Linked DNA regions of Diceros bicornis minor. The protein of the gene in region 3 binds, or shares a complex with, the protein of the main gene of each other region. Links are inferred from orthologs where the notes say so. Each region holds a gene or a part of one and is shown on either strand. Other genes may lie near its edges.

What was found.
Region 1: the proteins of GPSM2 (region 3) and FRMPD4 are in contact, whole or in part, in a crystal structure (PDB 4WND), measured with the Homo sapiens proteins. The link is inferred for Diceros bicornis minor from reciprocal best matches to the Homo sapiens genes GPSM2 and FRMPD4. Residues at the interface, in NP_001307967.1 of Homo sapiens: Leu25, Ala28, Leu29, Glu32, Asp57, Lys59, Thr60, Ser62, Ala63, Ile64, Ser66, Gln67, Asn70, Phe73, Tyr74, His85, Asp88, Ala92, Gly100, Lys103, Asn107, Asn110, Thr111, Lys113, His128, Arg143, Tyr146, Asn147, Asn150, His153; in NP_055543.2 of Homo sapiens: Gln988, Leu989, Leu990, His991, Ser992, His994, Met995, Glu996, Met997, Glu998, Pro999, Glu1000, Thr1001, Met1002, Glu1003, Thr1004, Lys1005, Ser1006, Val1007, Thr1008, Asp1009, Tyr1010, Phe1011, Ser1012.
Region 2: the proteins of GPSM2 (region 3) and NUMA1 are in contact, whole or in part, in a crystal structure (PDB 6HC2), measured with the Homo sapiens proteins. The link is inferred for Diceros bicornis minor from reciprocal best matches to the Homo sapiens genes GPSM2 and NUMA1. Residues at the interface, in NP_001307967.1 of Homo sapiens: Ala28, Leu29, Glu32, Cys35, Lys36, Phe47, Lys59, Thr60, Ser62, Ala63, Ile64, Ser66, Gln67, Asn70, Ala71, Phe73, Asn110, Lys113, Tyr146, His153, Lys157, Pro164, Gln165, Arg203, Gly206, Asn207, Asn210, Tyr213, Leu214, Arg228; in NP_006176.2 of Homo sapiens: Ser1901, Phe1902, Tyr1903, Met1904, Gly1905, Thr1906, Cys1907, Gln1908, Asp1909, Glu1910, Pro1911, Glu1912, Leu1914, Asp1916, Trp1917, Asn1918, Arg1919, Ile1920, Ala1921, Leu1923.

The regions. Positions count from the first base shown.
Region 1 is NC_080781.1:9,643,720-9,647,463, forward strand, and holds the start of FRMPD4 (FERM and PDZ domain-containing protein 4), read left to right. Parts: upstream 1-1,117; 5' UTR 1,118-1,223; coding exon 1,224-1,264; intron 1,265-3,744. UniProt on the Homo sapiens protein: Positive regulator of dendritic spine morphogenesis and density. Required for the maintenance of excitatory synaptic transmission. Binds phosphatidylinositol 4,5-bisphosphate.
Region 2 is NC_080746.1:58,562,537-58,566,280, forward strand, and holds the start of NUMA1 (nuclear mitotic apparatus protein 1), read left to right. Parts: upstream 1-1,509; 5' UTR 1,510-1,607; intron 1,608-1,633; exon of another isoform or gene 1,634-1,751; intron 1,752-3,744. UniProt on the Homo sapiens protein: Microtubule (MT)-binding protein that plays a role in the formation and maintenance of the spindle poles and the alignement and the segregation of chromosomes during mitotic cell division.
Region 3 is NC_080743.1:42,061,096-42,064,839, forward strand, and holds the start of GPSM2 (G-protein-signaling modulator 2), read left to right. Parts: upstream 1-1,415; 5' UTR 1,416-1,640; intron 1,641-3,744. UniProt on the Homo sapiens protein: Plays an important role in mitotic spindle pole organization via its interaction with NUMA1. Required for cortical dynein-dynactin complex recruitment during metaphase. Plays a role in metaphase spindle orientation.

The DNA.
Region 1 (3,744 bases), on a different chromosome or scaffold from region 3:
TATGTAAAAGAGAAGGCTAAGAGTTCTAAATGGCTGCAACTTGGAGTTTACTCTGCCTAAGGTGAGTGTTTATGTTTTTGTGGTTTTGTTTTTTGAGTAAGGTTTTTTCTGTTTTTTTCCCTTCTCGCTCTGCCTGCCAGACCCTCCTTCTCCTCCCTTCTTTTCCTTCAGATTCTGAACCCCATTCAAATTAGTCTCCGCGCCACTGGCTCCTGGGACCCTCATCTCTCTGCCCCTCTAGTAAGAAACAGCTGTGCCCCCCTCCCCCCATGCCTCCTGTTCTTATTTTCTTATTTCTCCGACGCTCCCCTGGTGCTGCTGTCCAAAGACACACCTTCCCAGCTAAGCCAGCTGTCTAGTCTCGCTCCAGCGGTTCGGGGGAAGCAGAGGGAAGTCTGCACTCTCCAAATCCACCCCTCTGCGTTGGGCATCTCCCTCCCCTTCCCCTTGATAAACGATCCAGCCTCGATCATCCCTGCTCCTTCCTAATTGCTAGTCTTGTTTGTGGAACAAACCAAGGCTTTGGGCAACCTGCGGTTACACAGCTCTCCTTTGGTTTGGGGAGGGAGGGGGTAGCGTTCACGGTCCCCGGTGTGCCCAAGACTGTTAGACCAGATCTTTCAGATCTGGAGGCACAGGCAGCCGGTGACAAGAGAGCCCCCCCACCCTCGTGGGTGGGGGTGGGGAGAGGAGAAGGGACTCGGCTTGGGGAAGGAGGCAGAGAGGCAGCTGCAGTGCCGGGAGGGGTGCGTGCGCGTGTGCCAGGCTCGCCCGCCGCCTCCAGGCTCAGTCTGCGCTCCTCGGCACGCGGGGCAGCCGGGGCCGGGGAGTACGAACAGCGCCCCTTGCCCGGGCCTCGCCTCCCCAGGGCGCCCGGCATTCCCCCGGGCCTGGGCGCACGGGGCGGAGCGAACGACAGGGGCTGCGCTCCCCGCCCCCGCCCCTCGCACCCTGCCCGGCCCCCTCTCCATTGAGTTTTCCCCACACCGGCGCCCATCAATGGTCCTGCTCGGGGATGCACACGCAGCTCACGGCCGGAGGGGGGTAGCAGCCGCCGCCGCCAGGTGCGGGCTCTCCCGGGCCGCCGCCGCCACTCGCCGTCGCCGCCACTCGAGCCCCGGGGCGCGCTGAGGTCCTGGCCGGCCATGGGGCTGCCTAGGCTGCCGTTGATGGCGTGAAAAGGGGCGACGGAGCCGCCACGCTCGGGGTCCCCGGCTGCCTGCATGGATGTCTTCAGCTTTGTGAAGATTGCAAAGCTCTCGAGGTAGGGGCTGCGCCGGTGCATTTGCACCCAGGGCCGCCGCCGCGGGCAACTTGGTGCTTTATTTTTCGGGAGGCTCGGGGAGAAGTAAAAGCTGGAAAGAGCTGCGGGGCTTAAGATAGGACTGCAACGAGGTGGCCAGGGGCTGCTGCGTTCAACTTATTTCTCACTGGCTGGTGGGGCTTGTGTATCGACGGGTGTAGACCACACACACAGAGATACACACGCCCTCACGCACACACCAATGTTCACGACAGTTTGTTTTCCCTTAGGAAAAGCCCCAGTGGTACTTGGGGTCACATGTATAATTCAGGGCTAAGAGAAGATGGTTGTAATTGCTACTGCTAGGGAAAGCCAGAAGAGCTTAGAGCTTTGCTACCTGCTTTCCAAGCGGTAGTGACCAAAAGTGCCCCCCCGGCCCCGGCAATTAGACCTCCACACCCTGGAAAACTTAGCTTGTTTTGGGTTGACCCAGGTAACCGGTCAGGTGTTCCCAGCAGTGACCTAGATGCTGAAGTCATGGAGACAGAAGACAAAGACCTTTAGCCTTTCTTTGGGTAACTATGTAGTCCTAAGCCTTGAAAGACAGAAATTTGCTTCCAAGTGGCCGTGTTTTTGAAGTGGAAAAAAAGTCATCAATTCAGGCAGATTTCTGGAGCAGTGCTGATAGAGGAAGAACATTTCCACTTTTTGGCCACCTAGGTATTACCTGGTCAGAGCATTGCTCCTAGGTCTTCTGCTCTGCTTCCCTTTCCAAAGTCTTCATCGAACTCAGAAAGTAGGTCTGTGCTTCTTGCAATGTGGCATTAACTGGGAAGGGCCTGGTATGATTGTAGTGCGGCAAATTAGGAAATCTTGCCCCATCTCCTCTGCCCAAGTTTTTGGAAAGACTGGCCTTCTGCCCCGGGAGCTCTTGATAGCAGTTACTACCACACCTTAGGAGGTAGACAGTAGGGGTTTCCCAGGACGCAGTTTAGACTTGCTTTCAAGACAGAGAGAATAATTCTAGGTTTTCCTTCATTCCTTAGTGTCACGGTGGGACACGAATGCATCAGGCAAGAATGAGCGGCCTCAGATAGCCTAAGTCAGAAATGTATGTTGACTTTGCTTTGCTAAATTACATTTGAGACATTTCAGAAACATTTCCTTTGGATGTGGCCATTCAGATGTGCCTCTCCAACAACCATAGGTCTTGATTTGTTCTTCTTGCCCATCTCCACCTTCCCTCACTACTCACGTGGGTCAGTCTTAATGTCACAAGCAGATTTCCCAGGGAAAGGGCCGCATTGTAACTTAGTCTGGGTAGATGTGAGGTATACAGTTGATGGGTAAATGTCTTTATTGAAGAAGAGGCGTTGCCCTGCATGTCAGAAGACATATGTCAAGCAGTAGATGATTGTAGTGTGGCAAATTGTTTGGTTTCATGCTGATATCATAGAGGGCCATGGCTTCACACCTCTATTCTATTAACTTCCTGCATGCTTCTGCCTATGGCTGGTTTATCAACAGCTGTCAAATCATGAACCATGGAATGGAAACGGCTATGAGCAACAGTTTAGCAATTGCCTGATGCCATCTGTGTGATGGCAGAGAGATTGCCAAAGGGAAAGAAGTTGAACCAATAGTATAGTTTACAGTAACCAAGGTAGATTTCAGTGGCCTCAAATGCTAAAAAATGATAAGATTAACGAAACATCTAGAGCCTAGATTTACTTAAACTTTGGAGTTTGGGAGCGCACAGAGCTGTGTGTCAGTGAAAAGATGTTTTATACTCGTTTTGCTAAATTCTAGGGTGTCTTCATGATATTCACAAATCTGAGTTTTTGCAAAACCCAAGCCAGGCTGTGGGAGATTAGTATCTTATTTTAAAAAGAGGTTAAAATTTAGTAAATGAGTGTGAATTTCACTTTCTATCCTTAACGTGATCCAAATAGAGTGTTTATTCTAAAGAGAGAAGCTGCACATGTTCTGAGCTTATGTGCCTATTAAGAAATCTTCCATCCATGGGAAATCTTCTTGTTTCTCAGTGTGAGCTCAGTGATGGTCCCCGAGCTGAAATAGAAATACCTGTAGAGGGTCATCAGCATGCAGAAACACATGTTTGCAGCTGCTTGTTTCTGCCCTTGAAGGAATAAAGTCCTGTGCGTGTGTTGTAAAGGCTGTTACAGAAATCAAGTTCTTTTCTCAAAGGTGAAGTATAAAAGTGCTTACACTGCAGGATTTTCCTGATTTCAGAATGGATAATCTTCCTAAAGGATTTAGCTTTGATCAACGTGGTTACTTGAGTGCTTAAAATTCTCTTGGTTTGGAGATGAACACACGTAGTTACCCCGGGCCTTAGCCTTGTCTTGGTTCTCAAGAACTTGAGTTTCTAAATGTTGATTCGGAAAGCATTTGCTGTAGAAGCATACCTGATATTTTCTACGTGTTCTATCCGTGAATAAAGAGAGTGGTAATTACAAAGAATTACAAGAGAATACTTA
Region 2 (3,744 bases), on a different chromosome or scaffold from region 3:
TATAGAGTGAGGTAGGAAGTGGGCCTAGGACCAAGTGGGGGGCCAGGGCTTTAAGATAGTAAGTGGACCAATCAGGGCCAGCTAGAAGCCATCCAGAAGCCAGTTAATCATGGGAGCATCAGACATGGGTGCTGTGTTAGCCAGACTGTTTCCTGGCTAGTTTAGTTAAATCTGTTTGATTCCCACTGTCTTCAGTCTCTCTAGTTCCCTTTCCCCACTTAAACTTTCAAGGAAGGATGTGAAACTCATTCAGCCTGAAGTATAAATAACCCAAAGTAGGCCATACAGGTTTCTTCTCCCTGGGGCCACTGAACCTACTCCTTGGAACAAGTGCTTACACTAGAGAGGCTGTAGGCTCAAGCTAGACACTTGGCTGTAAGTTGGCGAACTGGGGTCTAGTCCTAGCTGTCACTGACTTGGTGTGTGGCCTTGGGCAAGCCGCTGCTCCTCTCAGGGTTTCAGTTCTCCAATCTATGAAATGGGGATACATATGCTTGACTCATAAAGCTCAAAAGAGACTGCATGTGAAAGCGCTGGGTAAGTTACTAAATGTAATAGATCTGTCATGAAGACAGTAAAAGGAATGAAGCTCTAACTGTAGAGCTTCGAGAAGCAGACCACGGAGGCGTAGGAAGAAGAGATCGTTTAGGCACAGGACCCCTCATGAATGTGTGGGAAGATCCTGCTGACTCTCTGAGAAGAAGGCTTACCCTGGGGTCTTCCTGCTTGGAAAGAAATGGGCAGTTCAAGCCCCATCAAGTTTCCTACATCTCCAGTATTAGGGCCTGTGATGTACTCTAATGCTACTCCCTTGTCTCGAATAGGGTCTCAGTTCCTCAGAGGGAAACCAACCCCATGTCTGAGGGCGTTTCAGATCTCCCAGGGTGTGTCAGGGATTTGAGGCATTCGTATTAGGGGGCCCCATGTTTGTGATGGGGGAGGTTCTAAAGCACCCCCAAATCTGTATGGGTATACATCTCAGCGTCCTTCCCTCCCCTCCCCGCGCCCCTCTATCCCACATGTGTGTTGTGTCTTGTTCACTGTGAAAGGCGATAAGGGGTGGGGGGTGGGGGGGGTCTCAGGTCCCCGAGAGAGGAAGTTCTTAGTCTCTCCGGGTGCCCTTCCCCTTTCCATAGAGCTCTCGTCCCCTAGAGCGAGTTTCCTGTTTTCCCGCCGGACTCACCCGCAGTTGCTTCCCCTCCAGCCTCGGCGTCCCACTACCTTAGGGTTACTCAGCGCAACTCCATGGCAACTACCTTCAGCACTGTATGCGCTGCCGCGAGGCCTACCCGGAGCTGTAGTTCGTCAGGGGCGGGGCTCCAAGGCCGCGGGAGGTGCTGGGATTTGTAGTCGTCTTTGCCCTCAAGTCGAATCCGGGGTCCGGAAGTAGTGACACCCCTTCTCCTTTCCCAGTGGCCCTCACACTTCCTTTTCTCGGGTCCTCAAGCGTGCCCTTGCGTTCGACACCCGCCGACAGGGGCCAATCAGAGGGCGGCGCGAGGGGGCGGTGCCATAGTTTAAACTAATTGTGCTCTCACAGCGCTCGCGCGAGCCCGCGACGAAAACACTCGGAGGCACCTTGAGGCGGAGCGGGAGCGCGCGGCCAGGTAACCGGCGCGGGCCCACGGCTGGCGTTCGGCCTTGGCGCCCGCGGGGATGCCCAGGCCTAAAGGGGGTGCTGGAGAGGCAGGTGCGAGCCGAAGGCCTCCTTCATAGCCGAGTCTGACAGGGGAGAATCCGTCGGGGGTCAGGTGTGTGAGGAGACGGGCGTGCCTAGGGGGAAGCTCTGTTTGGGGGCGTGTCTGTGGAATTAGGTCTGACGGCGACTGGGGTGGGGGTAGTGCATGTTCCCGAAAGGCTTGTCACCGAGAGGTCCTGTAATGGGAAGTCTGCGCCTGTCATTGTTAACAATAGTAGTAGTAAACATCTTCCGAGCACCAACTACGTTTCAGACGCTGTGCTACACCCTTTATATGGATCATCTTTTAAATCTTCCGAACAACCTTATTGTGCTTTATGACAGATGGGGAATCGAAGTTTATAATGTTGAACTTGGCCGGGGTTACATAGCTGGTGAGTGGTTGGTTGTCCTGGGGTTCTTGAGGGTTGGGCCTAAATGAGGACGGGGGGAGGGAGTGCCTGGGGGTGTGGCTTGTCTTGGACGAGTCCATTTATTTTGACGCTCACTTTTCACATATGTAAACAACGAACTTACCTGCCTTACCTACATTCCTGGGGTGGTTGTGAGGGTCAAATCGGGTAAGGTGTTTCTTGCGAGCATCTTGGAGAGAACAGATTTGTGACTATAAGGGATGTGACTGTGTGAAGGTTGTTGGTGGGAGAGAGCCCATCTGGTTAATGCTGCCTCCTCTGGGCGCCCTCTTTTGCTTGCCCCTGAGGTAGCGTTTTTCATCTGGTATTCTAAGAGTGTCTGCATGTTTGTCTGCCCTTGTAGATAGAGACAGTGTCTTTTGTCCCTGTATCCTGATGCCCATGCAGGATATGAACCGGGCCATTAATGTGTGCTTTGAAATGAATGAGCTTTCTTGGGCTGAAGGGAGATAGGAGCCCGGCTTTCCCATCGTTATTTAGTGGCTGTTGAACCTCTGTATTAGGCTATCCTCTTGCCTGGAATGGCACTGCCTCCTGAAAATGTGATATTTACTTGCTTTAATCCGTGCTTCCCTCTCTCCAGTGTCTGTTGCCTGGTCCTGTGTTCCCAAAGTTCTGGATTGTGGTTTTTTTTTTTTTTTCCTGAGGAAGATTCACCCTGAGCTAACATCCGCTGCCAATTTTCCTCTTTTTGTATGTGAACCACTGCCACAGCATGGCCACTGACAGATGAGTGGTGAAGTTCTGCCCCAGAGACGCGGCCGGGCTGCCGAAGCAGAGCGTGTGGAACTTAACCACTAGGCCCACCAGGGCTGTCCCTGGATTGTCAAATGTGTTACTCTGTGGTGGGCAGACTGTTGATAGTCAGGGAATTGGGGGCTCTCTACCTTGTGGAGATTTTTACTGTTGGGAGTATATGGGAACCTGGAGGGAGCATTCATATCAAGTAAGGTAACTTTCAATCAGCAGGGATGAGTGTATCTGTTCCCTCCCTCTCTGTTCCTATGTGGATTTTCTTCTTTAGCGGAAGAAGCACATACTTCTCTGTGAAAGTTCCAGAGAACTCTTTTTTTGGCCCAAGTTCAAGCAAATGATGACTAATTGTAATGCCTGGTTCTTAATCTAAAACCAAAAGCTGTACTCCCCCCAAATTAGAAGATCTTCCTCAAAAGCTCATATAAGAAATATTTCTAGTTAGAATATTCTTTTTTATCCATGGAATATGGAAGTGGGAAGAATGCCTTGAACTTGAATTCTAGAACTATTAGGATGGGGGGGAAGTCCTGCCACAGATGACTAAACAGCTTATCAGGGAATGTTTTGATGGCGTGTCTAATTGATAAAACCCTATGGTCAGTGGGTATGTGGGGGGTCATTTATTTCAGCCTCTTACCCTGTGTACACTAAACATATCAAAGAGTGTTGTCCAGACTCACAATGAGCACTTCCAAGAATGAGACCACTCCGGAGTCCATCTCCACCTACCACCAAAAGGTAGTCCATCTCCATGTTTAACAATTCCAATTAATAATAATTATTGTTTTGTGCTGTCAGTGATTATTTCATTTTACCCCATGTATGTTTACTGTTTGTTTTGTCACTATTCTTTCTTGCATTTTATTCCTTCGTTTT
Region 3 (3,744 bases):
ATGGAGATCAATATCAATGATAGAAAGTCACTGTAAGAGAAGATTTGCAGGAAATGATTCATTTTGAACATGTTGAATTTGATATATTGTACTTCCTTTGTGGCTTTCATATTAACACCCAAAAAAAGAATTTATGAGTAAGAAGGAATTATAATACCTACCTCTGAATAGTACAGCCAGCTGATTCAGTTGTTGTTTATAAGAACCTGCTACTAAAGGTAGTTGTTGCTAACAACAGGCACCATTTATTGAGCAGTCAGGCACTATGCTAACCACTTAACAATGTTTACATCACTGAAGCATCACAACCACCCTTATTAGAAGAGGACTTATTATCTATATTTTACAACTGAGGAAACTAAGGCTAAAGAAGATAAGTAACTCATTCAAGGTCAACCAGCCAGTAAGCGGCAGAGAAGGAACTCAAATTCCAGGTCTAGTTTGATGCCAAATCTATTTTAACCAATTTGCCATAACATGTTCCCAATAAGAGAAAGGCTGCTTGGATCACTGGTTGTGGCCATCATTCACAGAGAGATTGAAACCGAGGGTTTCTTTAATATATCCTTAAGCCTGTAGAAACACCTACCTGAGAAATAATCTAATTAAATTCGTCAAATTCTTTAGCCCAGAGAGACAAGTCTTGGAATTTTTGAGAAAAACAAACTGAGATCTATTTGTTGTTAACTCGATATGGAGAGGAAGTGAATGGAAATAAAACTTATTCTTCCCAGTGTATTTGGAATGTAGCTGCCTGAAACTGAGTAAAACGGCTACCCAATTTTGCTGGGAACCAGCGATTCTGCAGTCAACAGAAGTTTGCTTTTTTAACAGCTGGAAACGCCAGAACTGTGACACAGCCTCAAGAACTGAGGCTGCCTTGTTCAGACCTCCACACGGGTCCCTCTGTTCCTTTCACAGAGCCCTCTTTTTCTGAAACATCCCGCATATGCCGCTTGGGATACTCATTCTCTGGGCCAGGACCGAGTCCTAAGGGCAGGAGGCACTGGTTTTGGGCTCCCGTCTTTTCAAGGGGTCTGGACAAGAGCCCCTCCGAAGACCTCTTTCTGGACAATATTTATCGCTCCACCCTTCAGTGTCTGAAGAACAAAGACGACGACGGGAAAGAAACTTCAATTTGGTGCTGGAGGGCAGATCCCGGAGCAGCGGAGGACCGAATCACCCAACGCCCCCCTCAGCCTGACACGCAGAACCCCACCCACCCAGGACGGCGGAGGCCGCGCGGGGACGATCGCTCCGCCCCGCCCCGCCCCACCGCCGGCCATTGGCGGGTCCGAAAGTCGCGGGGCGGTGTCTGTTTGAATGTGAGCGACTGGAGCCGGGGCGCAGGCGCAGAGGAGGGGAGCGGTGAAGAGCGGGCGGCGCTGCGGACCCCTGGTTGGCGGTGGGACGTGTCGGGAGGCGAGGCGAGTCCAGGGAGGTCTGGCCCACGTGACCCGCCGGGGGCCGGGTCGGGGGGCGCGCGCCGGCCTCCCGCGGTGCCCCTGCCTGGCGAGGCGCCCGTGGCGCGCTGACACGCCTGGTGGAGGGGCTGCCGCCGCCCGCCCGTCGCCCGAGGCGGCCGCTGCTGCAGCTTCGCCGCGTCCCCCGCGCTCCCAGGACTCGCCGGCCCGCGGGAGGTGAGTTCTGAGGGGCGTTTGAGGGCGCCCCGCGGCGGGAGGTGACAGGGAGGGGGCGTGTGTGGGACGGGCTCTGTGTCCAGGGTCTGGGGGCGACCGCCTTTGTTCGGGGCGGGAGGAGCCGGGGGTGGTCGGCGGGGACGCGAGTGGAGAAACCAGAAACTCGGGATGAGGGACAGCTGCGTCCAGGACGAGCGCTCAGCTGCTTTCTGGTGGACGTTTTAAAATGAGAGTAAAGCTTACGAGCCTCGTTCCCTAGTATTTTTTAAATAAAAAGTTCCCTAGTATTTTTTAAATAAAAAGTATATTAGGATACAGTGATTTGTCACGTATTCTCAGTGTGAGTAACAAACCTGAAAAATCGGAATCCCTGTGGAATTAGACCCCAGGCAGATTGCAGTCACTTGTAGTCGTGCGCTGCTGTCTAAACCAGGCAGTTTTTGTCAAACACCTGCGTTTACAATATTTAAATTCATGATCTTTCGGACACCAGCCTGTCGATTTACCATAAAAATTGGTAGTTGCTGCAAAAAGTTTTAGTAAGCATGGAATGTTAAGAAAGCCCTTTGCTGAAAACCTATAGAATATCTTCGAATAGTAAAAAGTGGAAAATGTGTAATTTCCTTGTTTTGATGGTAACCAGTTAGATCATTTTAACTAGTATCATTTGAACTCCGTTAAAGAATAGGAGTAAGGATGGAAATTTTATTTGCCTTAATGCATAATTAAACCCTACCGTGGAGTTAAACGAAGTAGGCTCTTGGCTCTGCTTTCTTCGGCTTGTGTTGGAGTCTCTCGTCGTGGGTGTGGGAGGTTGATGTACCGACCGAGCTGAACTTTCAGGCTGCCACTTTAGAATGGTGCGCGGAAGATTTCCAGCCTGATAGCCGCCAGTGTGATTACCTCTGATAAATACCACTTTTGCTTGAATTGTCACTTTTCAAGAAGCAACTGTGGTTGATTTTTAGAACTGAGTAAGCAGCAGATCACTGTTGGTTGACATGGATGTGTGTGAGGGCTCAGGGGCTGAGGGACAGTCTCATACCTACTCTTCTTTACACCTTACCGTGGATTCGTTCTGACAAACTCTTTCTCAGGCTGTTCTTTACAATGTAAGGAGTGGAGCAGATACAAAGTAAAAAGTTGTGTGATATTGTTGAGAGGCATTTCCTCCGAATCCTCTTTGGCTAGATAAGCAGTTTAGGTGTGTTTTCTTCTGTTATTCAATCAGACATGCAGTGTTACAAATATTATATTTTAATATAAATCTCAGACTTGGTACTTAGGCTAATTGTAACACAGATAGGATATAGTCGTTTTTAAAATGGCCTCGTTCTTAAGGATAAAATATTTCTAAGATTTACCTAAAAGATAAAATTTTGTAATTAGTAATCTCTGGAATTTTAAAATTGAAAATCTGGTATAGATTTAGACTATCCTAAATCTATTCTAATAGACATGTTCTTTTTTATAATAATAATAATAGCTATTATTATTATTGCTACTATACTTTGAGTACTTTCGTTAAGTACCAGAGCCAGGCATTGGGTTAGGTGCTTTATAAATCAGATCTCCCATCATCACAACACATGTTGGTGTTGGATAAGTATCATTATGCCCAAACCAACTCTGCGAGTTTAGCTCAAGATCATATAACTAAGTTACTGTGCTGGGCTTCAAACCGTGGCCTGATCCCAAAGCACATGCTGTATCGCGTCTGTGTCTTTGTTTAAATCTCCTCCAGGTCTCTGGATTCCATTTGTAAGGACATAATCCTACTTTTAAGATGCCTGTAGGTGCTGTGTCTTGTTGTGAACTATGCAGAAATATTTCAGTCCTTAGTTTAGGACTTCTGTCTTCCTTTCAATACCTTATAAATCACAAATCCTTTTAATCATCTTTATAAAAACAGTAAAAAATTAAGAGTAAGACTTTCCTGAGTTATTTACATGAATATGAATATATTCTTTACTGTGGAGCAGAAACGTACTAAAGGCCGGTTTTCTCATTATTATAGGATTCTTTGCCGCTTCATAGTTTTTATCTTCTTTACGGGCAAGAAATCAAAAAAGTTTGTTGGACATCGATTATGTGCAAAGCAGTT